2 linked regions of the Drosophila melanogaster genome follow. The protein of the gene in region 1 purifies or fractionates together with the protein of each later gene. This does not show direct contact. Each region holds a gene or a part of one and is shown on either strand. Other genes may lie near its edges.

The links.
Region 2: the proteins of Plekhm1 (region 1) and DEF8 purify together in Drosophila melanogaster (affinity purification with mass spectrometry, with the first as the bait; one large-scale study listed by BioGRID). This does not show direct contact.

The regions. Positions count from the first base shown.
Region 1 is NT_033778.4:22,098,365-22,110,183, reverse strand, and holds Plekhm1 (pleckstrin homology and RUN domain containing M1), read right to left. Parts: upstream 7,008-11,819; 5' UTR 6,933-7,007; coding exon 6,803-6,932; intron 6,743-6,802; coding exon 6,243-6,742; intron 6,108-6,242; coding exon 5,406-6,107; intron 5,353-5,405; coding exon 5,189-5,352; intron 5,133-5,188; coding exon 4,610-5,132; intron 4,539-4,609; coding exon 4,395-4,538; 3' UTR 4,221-4,394; downstream 1-4,220. Other genes in the region: Vrp1 (verprolin 1), read left to right, coding at 161-597, 1,205-1,333, 1,404-1,698, 2,979-3,289; flap (flapper), read left to right, coding at 11,103-11,202.
Region 2 is NT_037436.4:12,124,521-12,135,106, reverse strand, and holds DEF8 (differentially expressed in FDCP 8 homolog), read right to left. Parts: upstream 2,962-10,586; 5' UTR 2,885-2,961; coding exon 2,131-2,884; exon of another isoform or gene 2,079-2,130; coding exon 1,354-2,078; 3' UTR 1,273-1,353; downstream 1-1,272. Other genes in the region: CG5645 (uncharacterized protein), read left to right, coding at 1-158, 219-382, 448-1,231; Lsp2 (larval serum protein 2), read right to left, coding at 3,592-5,697; CG34241 (uncharacterized protein), read right to left, coding at 6,704-6,922, 6,979-7,008; Ir68b (ionotropic receptor 68b), read left to right, coding at 7,713-9,620; yps (ypsilon schachtel), read left to right, coding at 10,221-10,395.

The sequences.
Region 1 (11,819 bases):
TTTCAAAGTTCAAACTATAAATGAATGGTTTTATCTTTTTTGTTACCCATACGGCAATCTTAATCTTTTAACGAATTCAAAATTGTATATTTTACTGATAATATTGAAATTGATGAGATTTAACTTACGCTTGTTCTAATTGTTCAACATACATTTACAGCCCGCCCATCGGTAAAACCACCACCGCCACCCACGCCGGCTCGCAGTTTCTCCAACACCAATCTGAACAATATCGGCGGATCGACGATGTTCAGTGCGGTGAACACAGCTCTTATCCAGAGCTCGGCCATCAGTTCTCAGGCTCCCTCACCGCCAATTACCCAGCCGCCATCATCGTCGAGCAGCAGCAATAGCGTGGCTGCCCTGCGCGACCAATTCCGTGGAGGCGCCGGAATGTCTAACGGAGCACCATCACCGCCACTGCCGCCGACGCCCGCACCCTCGTCCAATCCATCCTCAGCAAGCGCCAGTCCCAAATCGTTGCTGCGAGACAATGTCAAACCTATTATCCTAAATGGAGGTCCTCTAAATCCGCCAGCGCCGCCACCACACCGCAGCTGCCCACCTCCGCCGCCTCCACAGCGACAGTCGAGCAATGTAAGTAGCAAACGGACAGGAATAATATCAGCGCAGAACAACAGGTTGGCCCGAATGTCAGAGGTGAACTTTAATGGACTGCGATGCCTTGGGTGGTTACCTTGGGCGTTTTGCCTATGTATTGAGCAGATGTGGGGCCGAAGTCAGGGATATACATATATTTTAAGTAAACTAGGACTGACCATACTGAGCACGTAAATTAATACTATTCTTAGTCATTCGAAATGCTCTTAAAGGTAAACCAGATAATGGGTGAGCCGATGTATATTTGCTCGGCACTTATCCTTAAGTAATCATCTAGTTTTGCGCAGTGCATTTGTTGCTCGCTTGAACTCGGGCCACCCTTTTCACCCTATCTGTCTTCGTTTAAATTAAGATTCTCACTGCGCCTGCGCAGTCTCACCTGTTTGTAAGCGCTCCTGGCTGCGCACTGCCTGTTCATATCAGTCCAAGCTAGTGTTCCGTTTATAACTCACCTATTTTTGTGTTGAGCGGGGTGGATTGATTTTCCAAACGAGACGTGACCAAAACACTGGGCTTTTACACACAACCCATTGCCCTAAGCGTATTCCGTGGCCCAGTGGCCCGCATTCATGTGCTCCTCCAGCAGGACCGAGTGAAGTACTGGATAGACAAGACGGTGTACTCCTTTAAGAAGATACTCCATATAAATCGCCAAGGGAGGCACAGTGGCGAGTCAGTCAAGGTTATCAATATGCTTAACAGCAAGCGCAACGTAACTACACGCTATGATAGCCCCAAAAACCGCAGTAGAATCAAGCTAAGTGACTTCTCGTTTCTTACAGGGTGGTTCCGGATCGGGATCAGCGCCAGTTCCGCCGCAGCGTCACTCATCCATTCGGCCCAACGCCCCATCGACGCCACCAACGCACATGGCCAATGCCTCGCATCAGTTTGGCAGCAGCTCGGGCTTGTCATCAGGCTCGGGAGCAGGAGCTGCAGCCAGCGTGGGTCGACTGGTCAACGACTTGGAGACCAAGTTCGGGAAGCGATTCCACAACGTCACTGAATTCCCCAAGCCGCCGCCGTTTCTAAATATACAAAAAGTCTATCCTAGTCGCACGTTTAAGGCCACCAATGGTATGTAGTCGAGTGTGTGAGCGAGTGTGTTTGTTTTGTGAGTGTTTTATTTAAGTACATAAACATTTAGATGCATTGTAACTGCGATTATTGTTATATACACACCACACACACACACACACACACGGAATGCTGTTATATAATTAGTTTTCTCTTAAGGCACACGCTCCGGCATTTTAGTTTCGAACTCGAACGATCTATACAACGATTCGTATATCTAAATAATTTTAATTTTAAAAGTGTATTACTACCAGTATAGATTATTATTGTATAGGAAGGGAAAGCCCAGGCTTACAATCCACAGCACACACATATATATGTTAAATCCCGCAGAGTTTAGTAATCTTTTTAATTATTGTTGTTTATTTTACTGTTAACAAGCAATGAAATGATTGCGTAAAGCGCAGCGGAGGAATGTTATTTTGTATATTGATTGCATAACACTAAAGTTGAATAGCTTTATCCAAACATTATATATTTTATAAATTTTAATGTTATATTTTGTTACATTTCAAAAGGGAAGGACTATGGAAGCTTCCCCTCGCGATATTACCACTAAGCACACACAATATTATTACGCATAGTTATATTTTTACCCAATCTATACTATAACTTTATATGTACGTGTATATGTAAACAGAAGCCAACCCATATTGCATTGTATTTCCCTGCGCCCCCATTTACATTTCTCCTACATGTAGCGCATGCCTTTACTTTTGTACCCGGCTATCATTTTATATATATTGTACCTACCAACGTCTCTATATATATGCATATATATTATACCCGATGAATAATTTTTAGTATGCAACAGGCACATTACGAGTAATTGTTTGTTTTAGTTTCGAAGTTATCTTTTGAAGAAACAATAAACCAAAATTCATTTGGATAAAATACATGAACATATTTCATTTGTTTCATTTTGTGTTTAAGTTTTCTCCAGTTTTTGGGCTGCCTCGGCGGCAGATTTCTTCGCTTGGTCATTGGTTCAAATTCATTTGTCCGTTTCAGAAGATTATTACTTCAAAAATATTCTTCAATCTATATAATTTTGATTTTTATGAAATATTTTTGTAGCTTTATTTCAGAATTTCAAGGCACATTGTGCACATTGTCACTTCTGCCGCATATTGCACTAAAAGTGTTCTTACCATTTGTATTTCGTTTTCGCTTGCATCATAGCAGCTCCTTTTGGCTTAGTTAGTCTTCGCTATTTTATATATCTATCCATGTTTGTACATATATCTTTCTCCCCGCTACTCCGATTCTTCCGCAAACAGCACCCGGAAACAGCAGCGTGAACAACAACAACAACGCGGTGGCAAGCAACAATAATACGACCTCGAATCCTAATCCTGGCGGGTTCGGAGGAGGATTAGCTCCAGTGCTAAAGCCGGCGCACGCTCCACTGAAAAAGCATCGGGCACCGGCTCCACCTCCTCAAGCTGGCGTGGCAGCCGCCACGGTATCAGTCATCCGGCAATCAAGTTTCCTTTACGGCGGAGCGGCAGGTGGTTCCAGTGGCTCCACCAGCATACGGCCACAGTCCCAGCCACCTGGAATCGGTCCGCGGAACTCCACCGTCTACTGAACTTAGGGCTTGATCTGTATATACATAAGTGTGTGCATGTGGAGTGTGTGTTTGTGGCTCGTTGTTGATGTATGTTGTAAGCGGGAGTGTTTTGTGCCACAGGCAAAAGTTCAAAAGTCAATGAAAAGTGCAATAAACCAAATACCATGGCACACTGAAAAGACCCAATAGAGAACCTGAAGAAAGGGCAGGCCCATGCTAAAAAATCACCGATAATTCGTTCGCGTCTTCCCAGGCTGCACTTAATAAATGGCTAAAGCAGAGAACAAAATAAGCCGCACATAAAATTTGTATATAGAATTAGCACCAAGTTAGTGAAATTAATTACCCAGCTCCATCTATACCTTTTATAGGCGGGTGTAAATGATTGTATGTACATTTAGGAGCGCGCCTCTTTGCATAAATATCTTACTAGACTGAACATGTTAAAACCCAACAGCAACAAATAATTAATGTAATTATATACATACGATATTTAGAATCGACTATTGTACGACTTAATCCCCTAGAGCAATACACACACACAAACAAGAGAAATATGTTAACAATGAAATACTGAAGCACAACCGAGGGCATTTCAACGAAACTCGCCACATTCCATTTCAAAATTCTTTAGTTCAATGTGCAATACGAGAGTTGGTGTGATAATCTCGAAAGTATTTAGGTATTATCTATCATCTGTGGTTTTCGGTAAACGTTTGTTAAACTCCTTATTGGGCGATAATTATTGGAAGTGAACATAATGCATATTTATATTATTATCCTTATTATTAACTCAATCATTGTTGTTGGACTTGGTGTCATTAGAAGTATTATTCAGCAATTGCATAACATTTTATTCCGAATCAAAATCATTGCAGTTATAAATAAAATTACGAAGTCATTCAAAAACTGAGCAACTGAGTGGTTTCATTGAGTCAACAAAATTGGTAACCATTTTTGCAAAGCCATGTTATGTATGCTATATATTTGAGTAAGTGTAAATGCTTTTAAGCCATAACAATTTTTATCTTAACCCTAGCTTAAATGTAAAGTAAAGCCTTTTCTTGGTTACGTGTAATAACAAATCGCACTTGTTCAACCTAAAATCTAAATATGGCCGATTTTAGGCAACCTCATTCTTCTGTTTAAGACATTGCACCGCCTCCTGGAGGCCCTGATCCTCGCGCTTACGTATTCGTTCACATTTGGGACATGGCTGCTTCTCATTCAAACACTCAGCGTGGAACACAGCTCCACAGGCCAGACACTGTAAAAAGATGTGTGAGCGCCAGTATGAAAATATCTGTCATCTTGCAATTTCTTGATAGTTCGACTCACTCTGAATGTGGTGCTGATGTGAAAGGGATACAGCACCCTTGGACTCTGGCATATCTCGCAGATGAATCCTTTTAGGTGGCACAGTCTGCACTTCAAGACATGCGCTTCCCCCAATTTGAAGGCTTTCTGCAGCTGCTGACACAGCACACCTCGCTGAATAAGAGCCAAATCTGCTATGGAGTACAGATGAATGTGCTCGTAAAGGTACTCCCTGCCAGCAAACTGATTCTGGAGAAGCTCTATGCTGCTCGGAGCACAGGTATACAAATAGGCCCTAATGAAGTTTAGTCGGATCCGCAGGGATTGCAATTCAGCCATGGCATCGGAAGCAAAATATATTCTCGGGTTAAGCAACTGCATGTCCAGGAATGGATGCGATCGGAATTCGGCAAGGAAAGTTGCTGCCCGCTTGCTGACGCTGTACTTTCGGAAATCCCAATTGTAAATGATGCGAGCGGGTATCAATTGCATCTCAACATCCATGCAGCTATTGCAGTAGTAGCTGCCACTAAAGGCGCAAACTCTAAGGGTAGATACAAATGTAAGTGGGATTAATAATGGACAAACGGATGATCTCACTGAAAGTTGGAGTAGCCAATGCCCAGCGGATGCTGACAGCTCTTGCACAGGAATCCCTGGGCATCCAGACCCGGCTCTCGAGCTAGTTGACACAGCTGGGCCACCATTTGCTGCAGCTCCACCATGTCAAACTCTGAGGTAAGCAGCTCAAACTCCGAGTTGGTCTATAATAAGATAGCATTTAATTTATAATAATCTTAGTTCTCAACCAACTTACGTCCAGTGACTGCAGATCACTCAAGTCTTCTGAAATGGGCGGATCGGTATCTCGCTGAGGCTGAGCCACATTGAGGTTGGAGGCACTGGCCCGAAACTTCTCCCAGATCTCCGACCATCCGGCTCCACTTTCCCGGTTGCTTTCGTGTTTCCGCAACAGAGCATTGTAGCTGCATCTGTCCGTAGTTGGAGAACGCAGACTGACTGAACTACTGACGCTCACAGATCGCTGGAAAAACCTAGATCCTGTCAGTTCCTCTGTGGGTGATGTAGGCGTTGCTTCCAAGTCACCAGACCATGAGGTTTGCATTAGATTGGACAAAGAATTACTGCCCTGGGGCAGAAGAGAAGGTGCTTCAAGATCCAGATCGGCGAAGGAGCTGCTGTCCATTTGACGATTGGATTTTTTCCTCGACCTCGTCTTACTGCCAGATGGAGCTTCCTGCTCTGCTGTTTCATTCGTTTCCGCTTTATCGCCACCTGTTTGCTCCTCGTTAATCACATCCATTTCATCAAACTTTTGTATCAGCAGGTCCAGGTTCTCTCGCTGGCTGAGTTCGGGAACACCAAAGTTGCTATTCCTTCCAAAGGGGCTATTCGAAATGGACTCCGAGAACAGTTCATTGGTCTGCAGGGGCTGTGGCGTCGGTATGGCAATGATATCGGATCCAAGCGAGCTGGCCACATCAACTCCGCTGCTAATCTGCAATGGTATACACAAATTAGTCCACTTGTAGCGATAAAGACCAGGAAAGGCCCTCTTATCATAGGAATTTTGGATTGTTGAACTATACGATAAGTCTAAGCCGAACATTCTTGGCAGGATAAAAGATCATACCGGGCAGGACTTGAGAGCAGGTGTCCAGAGATCAGATAGCTGCAGGGAGTAGTCGGGCCAGTGGTTCAACAGGCTGGAGTTCACTGGCAGATCGAATTGCACATAGGCCTCCAAGCTCTCCATAATCTTGGCGGCCGTCTCCAGACCCTCGGAGTCCCGCATAAGGGCGTTTCGCTTGTAGTACTGCGACAGGGCCGATCCGTTCTTGCGCATGTTGTTCAGATAGGAGGAGAACACAGACTCGTTAAGCGACTGGCGCACCCAGGCGCGGCACTGCCCCGTCTCTGAGGTGATCTGGCTGAGACCCTGCACCTGCTCGATCACCTGCTTGTGCATAAAGACCATGCAGGGCGCCCAGAAGCTGGGCTCGGGCCTGCGTTCCACATCGCCAGCGATGACATTGAAGGTGGCGGACAGGAAGGAGTCCTTCAGCCCGTGCAGGAACAGGGCCTCCAGGGTGGTGCACAGGGCACTGGTCTGCTCACATACTCCCAGGACCTCTGCAATACGTGAATGTATATAAATGGATGGCCATTTCCGGGGGAGTACCCAGAACTCACCCAAACTCTTCTGTTTCACCTCGAACTCTATCTCACGCGCATTTTCGTTCAGTGTATTTATGAGCGCCTCCTTCACGACATTCTCCCGTTTCGAAGAAAAATGGTTCAGGCTGCGGAACAGGGAGCTCATTTGGATGTCGATCCGCACCTTTTGTTGTGGTTTTCCGAGGGTCTAAAGAAATTAACATTGAAGAAATCATCCCCAAAGTGTGACCGTATGCCAGCCCCAAAACAACAAAGAAAAATATACTAGTAATAATTTAGTGCAGTTAGGAAAATGCGATTGTAAATGTTTGCATAGAACATGTTTCACAAAACGTATATAGTTTTATTCTAGTTTAATGTTATAAATTTAAAGTAGTAAAATTAAATTGTATGTAATAATTTAAAGAAGCCCGCGTTCTTCACAAGTTATCGATAGACAATACTTTTTGAAAACCTCAAGCTGCATGGTCACCCTGGAGCGTACACTGGTCAAGTCTGACGTCATTTTGAAACGGTTCTTAACCGATTTCATTTAAATTCAAAATAAATTAAATTTTTAAGTCCGCCAGCCAAACAAACCGTGTCCATTAAAATCTGCAAAAGTGCGCGCCAAGGCAAGCAAAAAGGTCAGATCTTTGAAACTTCAGCGCATTAAGCCACTGAAACCCGTTCTGGTTATTCTTGACTTTCTTCTCAGATCAAATCGCAAATCTCGGCTTATGTGTGAATGCTCGATTATGAGGAAAAAAAAACCCCACGCAGGCTAGCAAAAAGTCACAGCGAAACCGTCAACGAGACAGAATATTAATTGATCTCGCTTGGATCTTTCCTATCCCCAGCTTGTCACTGTCTTGTTATTGTGTTTTGGGTATTTTCGGGTTTTGTTTCAATGAACCGCCATATATTCTGCGGCCAAATGACTCATGCAGATCTTTCGGCCGCCAAGGAATTTTATTAATGAAAGACCATCCCGACTTGTTGAAGGAACCAGAAAAAAAACCCATGCACGTAGTCAGTTGATATAATACTAAAATCAAAATTTGTGTTAAGGTCACGGTGACCAACAAAGGCGACTTTATGTATATGCTTGTTGTTGTCAACGCATTTTTCAATATTTTTGCAATAAAAACGTTGTTGTTTTTACAGAAGATGCGCCGCTCTTGTAGTTGTGAACCAACTGGTTCAGCATTCAAAATGCAAACTGGTCTCAGCCGCCAATTTGTTTGACTTTTCGACTTTTTTCGGCTTGTTGTGTTGTTTTTCGAAAAACACATTTTCCATGTGGGCTGTGTGCATTCAGCAAATTGCATTTTATTCAATTTTATCGATACGAAACGGGTTACCAAATCATTAATAACATAAACAATTTGGCAAATCAGCAATTGCGAGAGTTGTTTCGTTTATTGGCGGCATTCTTTTGGAATGATGTGTTGATGTGTTGTTTTACTCAATACTCACCATGAATTTTAAAATAGAATTTCAAACCTGAAAAACAATGAGTGTATCGGGTGAAATTAGAATTTATTGTTAATAAAACTTGTTAAAAATAATCAGATTTTAATTTATGAATACAAAATGTTATCTTGAGATCTCTTCATGAAAGTTGGAAAGTTGAAAAGCAACCATAACAGAGCACTTAAGTTTGAAATTTACATGCCTATATACTCGGGCTTCCCCAATCCAAATTATATATATATATACAAGTCGGATTTCGCATGGTGAAAAACCGTTGGACTTTGTTGTGCGACATTAATGACGATAAACAATTAATACGGCGCTTTGGGTGAAGGGTCGCGGCGACATTTCCCAACTGAGCCGACTCTATTAAAGTAAATAATATGTGGCGCTTTGTTGCCGCTCTTAGCTGACTGTGCAGTTTCCGAGATGCCAGCGTGTTGCCATTGTTGTGGCCAAAAGCCGAAAAGCCAAAAGAAACCAAGCCAAACGAAACGAAACGAGACGAAGCGGCCTGAAATGTATAAAAACGTTTGTTTTCGTAATACAATTTTGATTACTTCTTCGACGCCAGCCGCCCATTGATGGGCATTGTCTCAGCTGGGCCCCTTTGTGCGTCCCTTAGCGATTTGATTTATGGGCGGAGGAGCTGGGCGCCCAATACTCCACTCCAACAGCGCTACCGTTGGCCATTTGCCGGGATCGCGGTCCATTTGGCAATAGCTTTGTTGTAATTGTTACAATAATAACAGCCGTGATTCCCGACACCACTGCCCCCCATCAACTGGGCAATCACTGACATCGCAGTGGCATGGTTTTCGGGGCTATTCCAAATAGATATCATTCAAAGATATATTTCTCAGGAATAAGCTTTTTTAGAGATTATAGAATTTAATATTATATATACTGCTACAATTTATGTGAACCCCTTTCCTCAAACTACGCCCATTTGCACCAACTGATGGGGCGAGGAAACTCTTTTTGAAGCTCTTTTGATCGTCGAAAGCCAAATGCCGGTACAAATGCTCAAATGCGGAACCAATAAGCTGACATAATTTTTTGTGATGGGCGCTGAAAAAAAAAGAAGATTTGCTCGGGCCAAATGATAATTACATTCCAGAGACATCTGAAGATATGGTCACGGTTGGCTTTCGAATGCGATCATTACCGCACTTAAGTTTGAAGACCATAGAAGATGGTTATTCAAGGACGTAACAGAAACATATCGTTGATACTAAAGTACGAGACTATTGAACTACCTTCTATATGCAAAATATGAAAAGAATTTCATATGGGGGGCGATCATAAAGGTGATGACTTATGAGCACGAGGTGCGATGATCTAATCACCGGTCGCGTCAATAGCCGGGCGGGCCGAAATGCCAAAAGTTCATCGATCACTGACACCGCCGACCAACTCAACGCATCTTTACTGAACGCTGATCTGCCAAAAGTCTGATCGATCGATCGATTGGTTCTCTGACTCAGACCAGTCAAGAACCCAATGCACTGAGCCAGACTGAAACAGGCAAGTTTGAAATGTGTTTATGTCAACGCCGCGATTGTCAAATATTGTATTAATGAATTGAGATGGAGTCGAGAACAACAAGAACTCGCTGTGGGAACAGGATCTGGCGAATCTGTGGCACATGGAAGGCATAACTTATGCATTGTTAGCATAATAATTTTCCAAAAATCAAGCCAAACCTGTCAAAATAAACAAACCGAACGGAGCACATTCGTTTTCAATAACCATTTGCATTTCGTGTGTGTTTAATTTATGCGAAAGTTGTGTCTATTTGGGAGGCGATTTAGCTATTGTCTTGTAAATCATTTAGCGAATAGCACTAATGTTAGGCGACTGTTAGCTGGATGTTAATATTAACACCTTATCGAAATGCGGGATCAACTTCTATTTTGGTATGCTTGCTTCGTTGATATTAATATATAATACATATTACATATATTATCTTGTTCGTCATATCTACTAATCTCATAAAGATATTCGTGCTATAGACGCATTTTTAAGATAACACAAAAGTTGGCTTACAGGGGTTAATATCTGAATCCGATCATGTTGCTCGGCTGACCTTGAACGTCATTGGCAGTGCGTCAAAGTGTGGCGAGAGACCAGTATGCAAAAAAAAACTGATCACCTGGGGTAATTAAAATAATTATTTTGCACTCTTTTCCGGTTGATAGTAGTACACACACACATGGCGATCAGAAGGGTTGGAAAATTCGGGGGGAAGCTGAAAAAGGCTCTTGAATAGATAACGCTTTCGCGCGTTCGAAATTCCCATTTTTCCCAACTTACTTACTTGACACTCTGCCGCCGTCGCAGTCGGCGTCGCTGGCGACGTCGCGGCTTTAGCCAAGTCGAGCTTGGAGCAGCGGCTCTTGGCCAAGTTTATTGAAAGCGCAGAATCCGTGAGCTACGGACGTGTTTCGCTCGAGCGCATCGCGCATCTCCCAGATACGACCTACGATCTCCATCGCTCTTGCTCGCTCGCACCGCCGCCCTCCGCGCATAGCACCCTCTCGCTCGCGCACCGAAGTGATCGTGATATCGTGCCGCGGATTTTATTCCGATTGAGAAAAGGCGGTGAAAATATTACACATTATAGTTGTCGGCTTCGATTGCGACGCCTGCGATTTTGTCATCGCGATCATTGTTGGCCGGATCGACGGCTCCTACGCGATATAATTGTATTCCCGCCGATCTCGCTGCCATCCCCTTTGGGCAATGCCCAATTCCAAATTGTTAATTGCGTGACAAATTCGAAAAGGGGTTAATATATAAAGAGAAATAATACGAGCAGTAAGCCAAAACGCGAAGCTCCGTGCTCACCCACGAGATAATGCAGTTCGATCCGAAGACACGATGCGGTGGCAGCGTGGTTAGCTTTACCGTTATGCTGCTGCTGATCATCGGCGCCGATTTCGCCGCTGGAAGGCCTGGTATTAAATTAAAGCAGCCTATATAGATATAAACTAAGGCGATTGCAATTGCGATTGCGATTGCGCTATCGGATCGCATATTCAATTCGCACCAGCATGCGAATCGGATTTTTGAAACGGCGATCCTCTTCGCTTTTTTTTTGTCTTTACCTCTTTCCTATTTGCGGTTTACGTTTTAAATGTTATGTGTGCTTATTGCGTTTTTTTCTGGAAGAAGCTACAAGTTTATGGGTGACATACAAAGTTATAGATATTATAAATATATGGCATAAATATTATGCCAGTCAAACCTGCTTGAGTAACATTACCATCTATGAATATTTTATAACTTGTGTATAGAATAGCACACCCATGACTTTCAGCTTCTTCTTGACGTTGTTATCTGTAACTAATTTTACGATTTTATCTCGATCCTACTAAGATTTATTCTGAACTGATCCCGAGCCCCCCTCCCCCTTCCTCTGTCTATGAATATCTGTTAGAAATTCCAATTCTTCACTCACTTTTTGCATATACAATCTCACCCTCACTTTCCATTTGCATTTGCATTTCCAAAACTCACCGGTGCACAAGTTCGAACTCACCCCACAGTTAACTTCGATCGTGATCGTGATCAT
Region 2 (10,586 bases), on another chromosome or scaffold:
CGGAAAAGCCTGCATTCAATCCTGAGGACGAAAAGACGTACAGTGAGTACATCGATGAGTACTACCAAATGGATTGCGAGGACATCATCGGGGATCAACCGTGTCGATTTAAATATGTGGAAACCACACCAAACGATTTCGGTTTGACGATAGAAGAGGTACATTTTCGATTAGCTTCGTTAAAGTTGAACAATGATATTATATTTTCTGTTGAATAGATCTTGCTGGCCAAGAACAAGGAGCTTAACCAGTGGGCTAGCTTAAAGAAAGCTGTCCAAAACAGACCGGAACACGTAGAGAAAAAGGAGCAGCGTCTCTACAAGATGAAAGCCAAGAATGAAGACCTTAAGCGAAAGATATTTAAGAGTCTTTATGGAGAAGGGTGAGTAACTTACAATAAAATTTCGATTTCGAACGGGTGTGTATTAAAACTTGACTCTCATGCAGTTCTGACGATGAGGAGCAGCCAGCAGAAGAGAAACCAGAAGTGACACCAGCTGAAGCGACAGCTCCAGCCGAAAATGGTCAAGTCTCGACAGAAGGTTTGTCCAAATCAAAGAGGAAACGCCTGAAACGTAAGGCTGCCGCAGCAGCAGCCAGTGCTCCTAAGGTTCTAAAAGAAGAAAGTGACTCCAAGGATCCAAAGGAAGCGGATGGATCTACTGAAGATGTCCAGGCAGAAAGTTCTAAGAAAAAAGTCGATACTCCCTCTAAAAAGGGCAAAGATGACGCAAATCAGGAAACTAAAAACAGTCCACAAAGCACGGAGAAAACGAAAAACAATAATGCCTTAAAAAATAACAAAAAAGAGCCTAAAAACGTGCAAAATGGATTCCAAAAACCCCAAAATCAAGCAAATAAAAGTGCAAAGACAAAGTCGAACCAACCATTTAAAACTACGGAAAGTGCGCCTGCAAAAGCAGAAAAATCAAATGGTAATAATCCTTTCAATAAGCCACAATCGAAATCCCAACAAAGGCAGGAACTGCCACCAATTCATAAAAATCAAGGTGGAAACAAAAAGGGACCGAGAAACGCTAACGGCACCAATCCCTTTAAGAAATCAAACCAAAAGCCAAGTGCACCCTTCCCAGCTAAGAAAACGAACAACTTTAAGGCGAAAAACAAGCAAAATAACAATAGTGGAATAACCGACGATCGATTAAAGGCATATGGCATAAATCCCAGAAAATTCCACAAGCGGGAAAAATATGGAAAAAAGGATAACTAAAGAGTTATGATAAATCTAAGAATAAAAGTTCATATATAGTTATACATTTTATAGTTACATTTTATGTACATATGATAACATATTAAAAACCAACACAGCACAATGAACTCTGATTTGATCAGTTATTCTGCGGCAGTCACGTCATCATCGGTGGCCACTCCATCATCATCATCATCATCGTCCTCGGTGCTCTTCATGCGATCCAATTGAAGACGCCGCTCTTGGATGCGAATGCATTTGGGGCAAATCATATTTTTGCGCGTGAGGCAAACTCGGTGGAAGATGGAATTGCACTGATCACACTTGATGCAGCCATCGTCGAAGGGAAAGATCACCTCGTTGTTGCTACAAATCTCGCAAATGTACGCTTGGGCAAGGCACATGGGGCAGGATCGTATGTGATCATTGAATGCCTTGAAAACTCCTTGCAGAAATTCGCTCAGCGCTCCAGATTCCACCTGGCTGAGATCACTTAGGGAATAGAACTCATTTGACTGGGCCAGATGTCGCCGGACACCCAGTTGCTGATCCACCAGCTTCAACTCGCTGGCAATCTTGCAGGCAGCCAGATAGTGGCGCATATGCACCAGATTTTGGCGAAGTTTCTTTACCGCACACAATTTTTCTACGAACACAAACAGCTTGGGATTGTCCTCCTCCAAGCGAATGAGCGGTTTATTTAGGAACAACCTAATCTCTTGGAGCGCCGTGCGCGACACTCTGCGTGGCGAAAAGTCCCAATTGTGGATAATGCGGGCTGGTATAAAGTTACTGTCGTTCCAGTTGCAGCGAGGGCAGTAGTACAATCCACTATAGTCGCATAGACGCGGCTCAATCCAGGTATTTTCTACGAGGAAGGAGTCTAATTATTCGGAACCAAAAGAGTAGCCTTAACTTACTTATATTTAGCATCGTCCCGCACTCGGCGCACTTGTATCCCTGGGAGGCGAGTCCGATTTCTGGACATATCTCCGAAATGGGATGCTGCCGCTCTGAAACCAGGACATGGGCACAAACCCTCTTCACGCCATCGATGCACTTCTGATGGACCAGGAATCCGCAATCGCTGCACACGTACGAGTTCTGCACCACACTCCAAATAATGGTGGTGCAGTGGTCACAGTAGTTCCTCTTGGCGGCTGCCTGCAGACGATTCCGTTTGCCATGATGCGGGTGATGGGGCACAAAATGATGACCCACCACAGCACGTATGGCATTCATAACTACCATGTCCGACGATAGGGAATGCTGCTCCTGGGCCTCCTCCAGCTCCTGCAGTGAGTATCGCAAATCTACCAGGTGCCGCACCAACCAGCGACGCTCCTCGCTGAGTTCCTCGCTCAGCAGGACGAGATCTCTGCAATGGGCGATGGCCGCCTGCAAATCCTGGATATTGGCATCGCTGGTGAAGATTAGGCGCCATTGCTCGCGCACCAAGGACGCGGGAATGGGCAACGCCCTGTACTCCGCACCTTGTGGACCACTTTCCTCGGAGCCTCCGGCCTCGGATCCAGATCCAGTGGAGCCAGAGCCTCCAAGGCCAACTGTTGATCCCAGCGTGGATGAGGCGTGTAACAGGTTGCTGGCGCTCTCGTTAATCAACTGCGCCACCGTGCCCGGAATGCTCGTGAGACTGTCCTTCCAGGAGCTCATTTTTGGGGAAGAACAACAAAACAAGTCTTTGTGTGTTTTTTTAGCGACCAGGGATGCGAGCAATTGGTGCAGATGAGCGAACTAGTTATCGTTCACGGGGCAAACTGCAGGTGGTTGTACGCATCCCTGGAATGCACCTTAATACAGTGAAAGAAAAAATGTGAGGGTTAATTATTTATAAATATTTTGAATTTAACTTTTAATATTTTTAAAATATGATACAATTTGAAACCATATTCTGAAATATGTCAAGCGTGGTTTGCATAAAGCAAATATTTTTGTTACCATATTTTACCATTTAATATTAAATTGTAATTTAAGAAATCTAACAATCTATTGTGTTTATTCCAGATAAAAATGCCTATTTTTAACTTGAAAATTCGTCTGCTAAAAACTGTAGGCTTTAAAACTAGTATCAATAAGCCCTTTATTCTATTGTTCCTTCTATTTACATATATTCTGTAAGTAGAGGAAAATAACTAGAAAACCAAAAATATATTTTGAAAAATTGAAAAGAGAGTGACTTGTGTTGAATACGTTTATTGTTCGATGGTCACAAGGTGGACTGACAAGCTGGGTAAAAATTGAGTTAAATTACGATCTCTATGGGGTAAGTGGATGCAGACAAAGATATAACAAGGAAAACATATGTAATCTATCCAATATCGTTGGTTCGTTTTGGGGTTCGTATTCGTTGGGTCCAGGATCTAGACCACATTGGTGTGCTCGTCGCGATGGAAGATCTTCACGTCGACGAACTTGAAGTTGTGGACATCGAAGTAGTAGTCATGCTTCACCGGCCTGTTGAAGGGGAAACCGAAGGGCAGGGCGTCCACGTAGCGGGAACCGTGTCCCACGCCGCAGCTGACCACCGGATCGTAGCCAGTGAACTGGGCAACCTCGGGCTGGTGGTACGGGTAGACCATGTAGAAGAACTGGAACACCTGGCCGCCCTTCTTGCCGCGCGGCAGCATCATTCGGTTGGGCACGCCGCAATGGGCCTCCGACTGATCCAGCTTGAACTTGTAGTCACTGTTGGTGGCGTCCATCAGCTTCTGGTAGAGCTCCAGGTAGGTGGTGCGATCGTTCACCCAGAAGGAGAAGTCACCGCTGGCGCGCTTGATGTGGTTAACGCCCGCCTCCAGATGCACCTTGAAGTGCTCCAGCTCGAAGAAGTTCTGGTAGTTGTGCTCCAGTGGGATCTCGTGTCCGTGCTCATCGTACTTGGGTCCAATGAAGACCTTCACAACGGCATCCTGAGCCTTGTCCGAGGTCACGTCCAGGGTGAACTCGAAGGGCTTGTGGTTGAGACGCTGCTGGCGGGCCTTGATCACATAGCTGGATCCCTTGTAGTGGGAGTTCCTGCCGAAGGTGTACAACGGATCGGCGGATCCCTCAACGGCGGGCTCCACATTGACGGCATTGCTGATGTCCGAGTCGAAGTGCTCGAAGTAGGTGGTCAGACTTTCGGGCATGTGGACGGCATCGATGTGGACACCCTCGAAGGCGTAATCCTTCTTGTGGTACTCCGGATAGGTCTCCATCAGATGCCAGTAGTGGCTGACAATGGTCTTGTATACCTCGTAGAAGATCGGATCGCGCATAGAGGTGTCGTAGTGCATGAAAAGGCCAGGGAAGCTCTCGTCACCATGGCCATAATGGTGGCCCTCGTTCACAATGAAGCGGTACAGCTTGTCAAGACTGCCGTAGAACTTCTTGTCCACGCTGTCCGCATTGCCCTGGATGATGTTGCCCAGCACATTGATGGTCTCCACATCGAACTTCTCGTTCTTGTGGATCCAGTCCATGACACGCTGCGTGTACATCTCCACATGCTCGATGTGCTCGTAGTTGTGCTCGTGGTAGAAGCTGTGGTGATTCTCCCGGTGCCATTGGGGTACGCCGTAGTAGGTGCGCAGGTTACTGGCATAGCCGGATTCGGTTGGCACATACATGTTGAAAGCGGGCACCTCGCCGAGATCGTGGGACAGACGCTCCAGGTACCAACGGGCCAGCAATTGCCAGTGGACATACAGGTAGAGCTCACCGCGACGATCCTTGTTAAGGACATGCTCCTCGCCGCCCTTCGTCCAGAACGGATAGTCCAGATTGAAGTAGTAGTAGAAGGCATTGAAGCCAACATCCTCCAGGTAGTAGGCCAAATCGTGATCGTAGTTCAGGGAACCGTGCACGTTCGAATAGTTCGTACGGATCACCACGTTGTAGATGTTGTCCATCTGCTTGACATGATGGAAGCCGTGCATTTTGTAGTGCTCAGCCCATTCCAGTGCCTGGCTATCGAAGTAGCTCCATGGGTGGATCTCGTAGTGGGCCGGCAGGACGACTCCCTGCATATCATCACGGAACAAACTGGCAATGGTCACGGCGTACACGAACAACTGCTTGTTTACGTGCTGGCGGGCCCAGTAGACGACGTGCTGGAAGGTCTCCCAGTTCTTGGCGAAGTAGAAGAGACGCACCAGACCCACCACATACTCCTCGTGCTTGTCGTACATCACCGACCACACCATGTCATCGGTGAAGGGTTGGTGTTGCCACAGCTCGAAGAAGTGCTCCAACATCTCCGGGTGCACATAGTCGGCCACGTGCTCCCACGGCTTGTACTCCACGTAGCTGCCCCCGAAGGGCGTGGTGAACACATCGTCCTGGTAGATGTGCTGCAGGATCTGGTACATGAACTTCTGTTTCATCAGAAAGTCCTTGTCCGCCACCTTGGAGTCCAGGTGCTTGGCCTGGCCGAGAGTAGCCAGCAATGCCACTGCAGCTAACGCAATCACCGTGAACGACTTCATCTTCTCGAGTCGATTCGAATCGTAACGCTGCAATGATCGGTAGCCAGTATTTATACCCCCGGATCGGCGATACGCAGATTGCAATCCGGCCAATGACCGGTCGCATCCGTAGCCTTGATCCGCGCCATCGCCGGATCTGAACGACCCGCGAAGCTCTCAATCTTAGCGCCCATGCTGCATCCATAATTGCAGGTGATAAGACCGACGATTAGGCGGCCATACCAAGATCAATCCTACATCATTATCTAAATTCAAGAGTGAGCCACTAGAAACTGGTGGTTAGGTGAAGCAGCTGGAAGATCCAGTTAAGATTTCCTCGCTCCAGAGACACCTTCTCCAGCTGTCTAAATAGGAGAGTCTAAAAAAAAGAATGCCCAAAATATCACGATTACATTGATACTATTTATAAGCAAACCCACTTGCATTGTCAACTTAAAAAGTTCATACCACAGCACATTAAAAACGTGAATTGGTACACCTATTTTGTCGCCGTGTAATGACTTTCATTTTTCCCCATTTTTCCATTTCAAACTGATGATCGTGCTTTTTTCACACATATCAACAACAGGTGTTTGACGGGCCCCCTTGATTAACCTATTTCAAATAGTGATTAAGATTACATGGCCACCTGATCTCCTGTCAATTGAGGTGTTACCAGGCGGCTTCCTTGATAAGTTTGCTTTGTTCGCCGCATCGATTCTTTATCAATGCTAAAAATATTCCGAATTGCAAAACACGGAGCATCATGTTGCTGCGACAACAAATCCCGGACAACAAAGAACAATGGACCATCGAATGATCCGCAGGTCAATGGAGAACATATCAATCAATCAGACCCATTTCAGTCCTCGGTTTTTATACTGCTATTAAATGTCCTTCAAAATAAAAATATATATGATTACAGGATAGGAAATTATGACGTTCTATGCAAATGCATATGATCTCATTAGTATATCTATACGTACATATCTTTATTTTAGTTTACACAGAATCTACAAAATTTATTTTACGAAAAGTAACCATTGCGTAGATAAACACTATCCAAATTATTTGGCGGCTGGATTCGTGGAAGTCTTCGTACGGCCTCCCGATTCTCGTCGGGAGTCACGTTGAGCATCTGCCCCGGATGTTCCGCTCGTTGGTTTTGGCAGGAGACTCTCGGTTCCGGGGATCTGTAGAACTCCGTGTTCCTTCGGCGCGGATACATCTCACAGGTGGTCAGGATCTACAGAAAAGCACGGAGATAAATTTGAAAGACCAAAAGAGAAATGAAATACTTACGGGCTGATTTGAAGACGTACCCCTATCCATGGTTAAAAAACTTTTATATTCGAAATAAACAAATTTTGAAAATTTAGAAATTTTTCAATGATTTTGTCCGGTTACTCGAAAGATATGAAAAGAAACCTAACCGAAACGGGTGAAAATAGTTTATGAAAACCCGAAACCATAATCATGGCATACTTTTTTTTAGATTTGCGTTTCAAGTTTTGAAATTGGTATTGGTATATCTTGAAATATATATTTTTATATTATTCAGACTTCGAGAACATATGAGTCTCGTCTATTCAAGGTGATCACATTGCTGCGTCATTCGCAAAGTCTTCAAAATATGATTCATCCGATTTAGAATAAACAACACCTTATCATTAGAAGTATACATTAATGCAAAATGTTGTTCAAATGTTTAGTTGCTAATCAAAAGAAAATGATTTCTTTTATAAATGCATAATCTTATTGCTTTTTAGAAACTCAAATAAAAAAAAACCCATTTTATTGCAAACCTTCCGTTTACTTTCATTCATTTTCTGTAATGTCCTTTTATTCCTTTTATAATTATTTTGTAGAAATCAAGTTTTGATAACTTTTTTCAAGTTACCCCAAAAATATTAGCCAACTAATGAACTGCTCACGCATCGCTTTTCCTAATTGGGAATTACGGCTCCCATGGGAAATCCTCTACAGGTGTTGTGTTCACCCAAAGGATATTTCACTGGTTAGTCTGCTCGTAGAACATGAAGTTTTTGGTTGGATTGCTGCTCCAATGGTATCTTCCTGGCATTTATGCCCTTGCCGAGATTGCCTGTCGCATAGCCGTAGAGCAGAATGTCCAGGTGACCTATCTGTACCGCTGTGCCAGCTGCCCGGCATCCTTCGATGCGGATTACTCTGCCTTGGAATTGGATCTCTATCGGTGTGTGGGCAGTAGACTGCCCGTAATCACACGGAACATGGAAGCACATGAGCTGGAACCATTTAGACGAACGGACAGCCTAAGCATCTTTCAAATTCCGGCTGCCGAAAAGGGTGATTCCTTGGTACGCCGCATCCTGGACATGTTGAATCCTCACCAGAGGCGCAAGCATATGCACAAGTATCTGTTTGTTTGGCCAAATGCCGGAAGGCATCAGTTACTGCGACTTTTTCGCGGCAGTTGGGCCAAGAAGCTGCTCTACGGATTGGCCATTACCGGCAGGGAAAATGGCACCTTTGACTTTGATCCCTTTGCTTGGGGTGGTCTCCAAGTGATTCAGCGGCTGGATGGCGAAGTGCCGTACGCAAGAAAGGTGAAGGACTTGCGCGGCTACCCATTGCGTTTCTCCATGTTTACGGATCCGTTGATGGCGATGCCCAGGAGTCCTGTGGAGACAGCTGGCTATCAGGCAGTGGATGGAGTGGCGGCCCGAGTTGTTGGCGAGATGTTGAATGCCTCAGTAACATATGTCTTCCCGGAGGATAACGAATCCTACGGTCGTTGCCTTCCGAATGGAAACTACACCGGCGTGGTCAGCGACATAGTCGGTGGTCACACCCACTTTGCACCCAATTCCCGCTTCGTGCTCGACTGCATTTGGCCAGCGGTTGAGGTGCTGTATCCCTATACCCGTCGCAACCTGCACCTGGTCGTGCCCGCCTCCGCAATCCAGCCGGAGTACCTGATCTTCGTGCGTGTCTTTCGGCGAACTGTGTGGTACTTGCTCTTGGTCACCCTTTTGGTTGTGGTGCTGGTCTTCTGGGTGATGCAACGTCTGCAGCGAAGAATTCCCCGTCGCGGAGTCATCCAGTTTCAGGCAACGTGGTATGAGATTCTCGAGATGTTCGGCAAGACACATGTGGGTGAACCGGCGGGCAGGCTATCCTCCTTCAGCTCGATGAGAACGTTCCTCATGGGTTGGATCCTCTTCAGCTACGTCCTGTCCACCATCTACTTTGCCAAACTGGAGTCCGGATTTGTGCGACCAAGCTACGAGGAGCAGGTGGACCGAGTGGACGATTTGGTACATTTGGATGTGCACATTTATGCGGTGACCACGATGTATGACGCAGTTAGGAGCGCCCTGACGGAGCACCAATACGGTCTGCTGGAGAACCGTAGTCGCCAGCTGCCACTGGGAATAGCCACATCCTATTACCAGCCGGTGGTCCGGCGCAGGGATCGACGAGCGGCCTTTATCATGCGGGATTTTCACGCCCGTGACTTTCTGGCCATCACCTATGACTCGCAGGCAGAGCGACCAGCCTACCACATCGCCCGGGAATATCTGCGCTCTATGATATGCACCTACATCCTACCAAGAGGATCGCCCTTTCTGCACCGCTTGGAATCTCTGTACAGTGGCTTCCTCGAGCACGGCTTCTTTGAGCACTGGCGTCAAATGGATCTGATCACCCGGGTTGGTGCGTCGCCGGATGCTGAGGAGTTTCTCGAGGATCTGGGCGACCAGACGGACACGGATTCCGGCTCCAACGAGTTGGCGATTCGTAACAAAAAGGTGGTTCTCACTCTGGACATCCTGCAGGGCGCCTTCTATCTCTGGTCCGTGGGGATTGGCATAAGCTGCTTGGGATTTGCAGTGGAGCACGCTCATTGGTTTTGGCGGAGACAGACACTTCGGAATGCGGTTGAAGCTAGAACAAGCTAACTAAAAATATTAAAAATTACTAAATAAAAGGTACATATATGTTTGTTATTGTAAATACTATACTAAGTTTTCAATAAATTTCACCGCTGTTTAGTTGGACATGTTGTTTTATACATTTTAATGATAAAACTGTAGTTTTATATTATTCTAACCATTTAATGAATTTAACCATTTATTCCAATTAACCTTTCTTGTAAATTTAAATGTAACGGCTTTTTATGTTGTTATGGCTTAACATTCCGCGCGTAACAGCACACTGGAGACCCCCAGTATCAGAGCATCGATAGCACCCATCGATAGTCCGATCACCAGCAACCCTGCCTCCGGCTGTCATGTTTCACTTCCGGAGCTTGCGAACAAAATAGAATCGCTAAGGCAAAGAAAACCCTGCGAGTGGCGAGTGTTTTAAGATCACACTCAAAAACAACATCCAAAGTGGTTAGTGGCAGTTGAGAGAGTGCCCAAGACCCCGAATACCAGCCGGGCAGACACGAACAACACCAGCAGCAGCAGCACCACCATCATCAACAGCAGCAGCAGCATTTCCCGCTTTTCGTTTTCGTCGTCGCCGAACAACAAATAACAAAACCACGACAAACGATGGCTGATGCCGCGGAGAGTAAGCCACTGGCCGCCGAACAGCAGCAGGCGCAGCAGCAGCCGGAGCAGCAGCAGAATCCGCCGAATCCGCAGGAGCAGGATCACGAGCAGGAGCCGCTGGACGAGCTGCAGGGACAGCAGGGCCAGCCCGCTCCGCCCACCAAGGAAGTCATCGGTAAGGCTGAAACTCGCATGTTAAACCCAATTCCCAACCAATTTCATTCATGTGCCGCGAACACATGGCGGCTGCTACCAAAATAGCAATGAAAAAAAGGAGGAAAAAAGAACAAGAAACATGCCTCCCTGTATGCGTGTGTGTGTGTGTGTTTTGAGTCTTAAAATATACGCGCGTCGGCCATTTTGTGC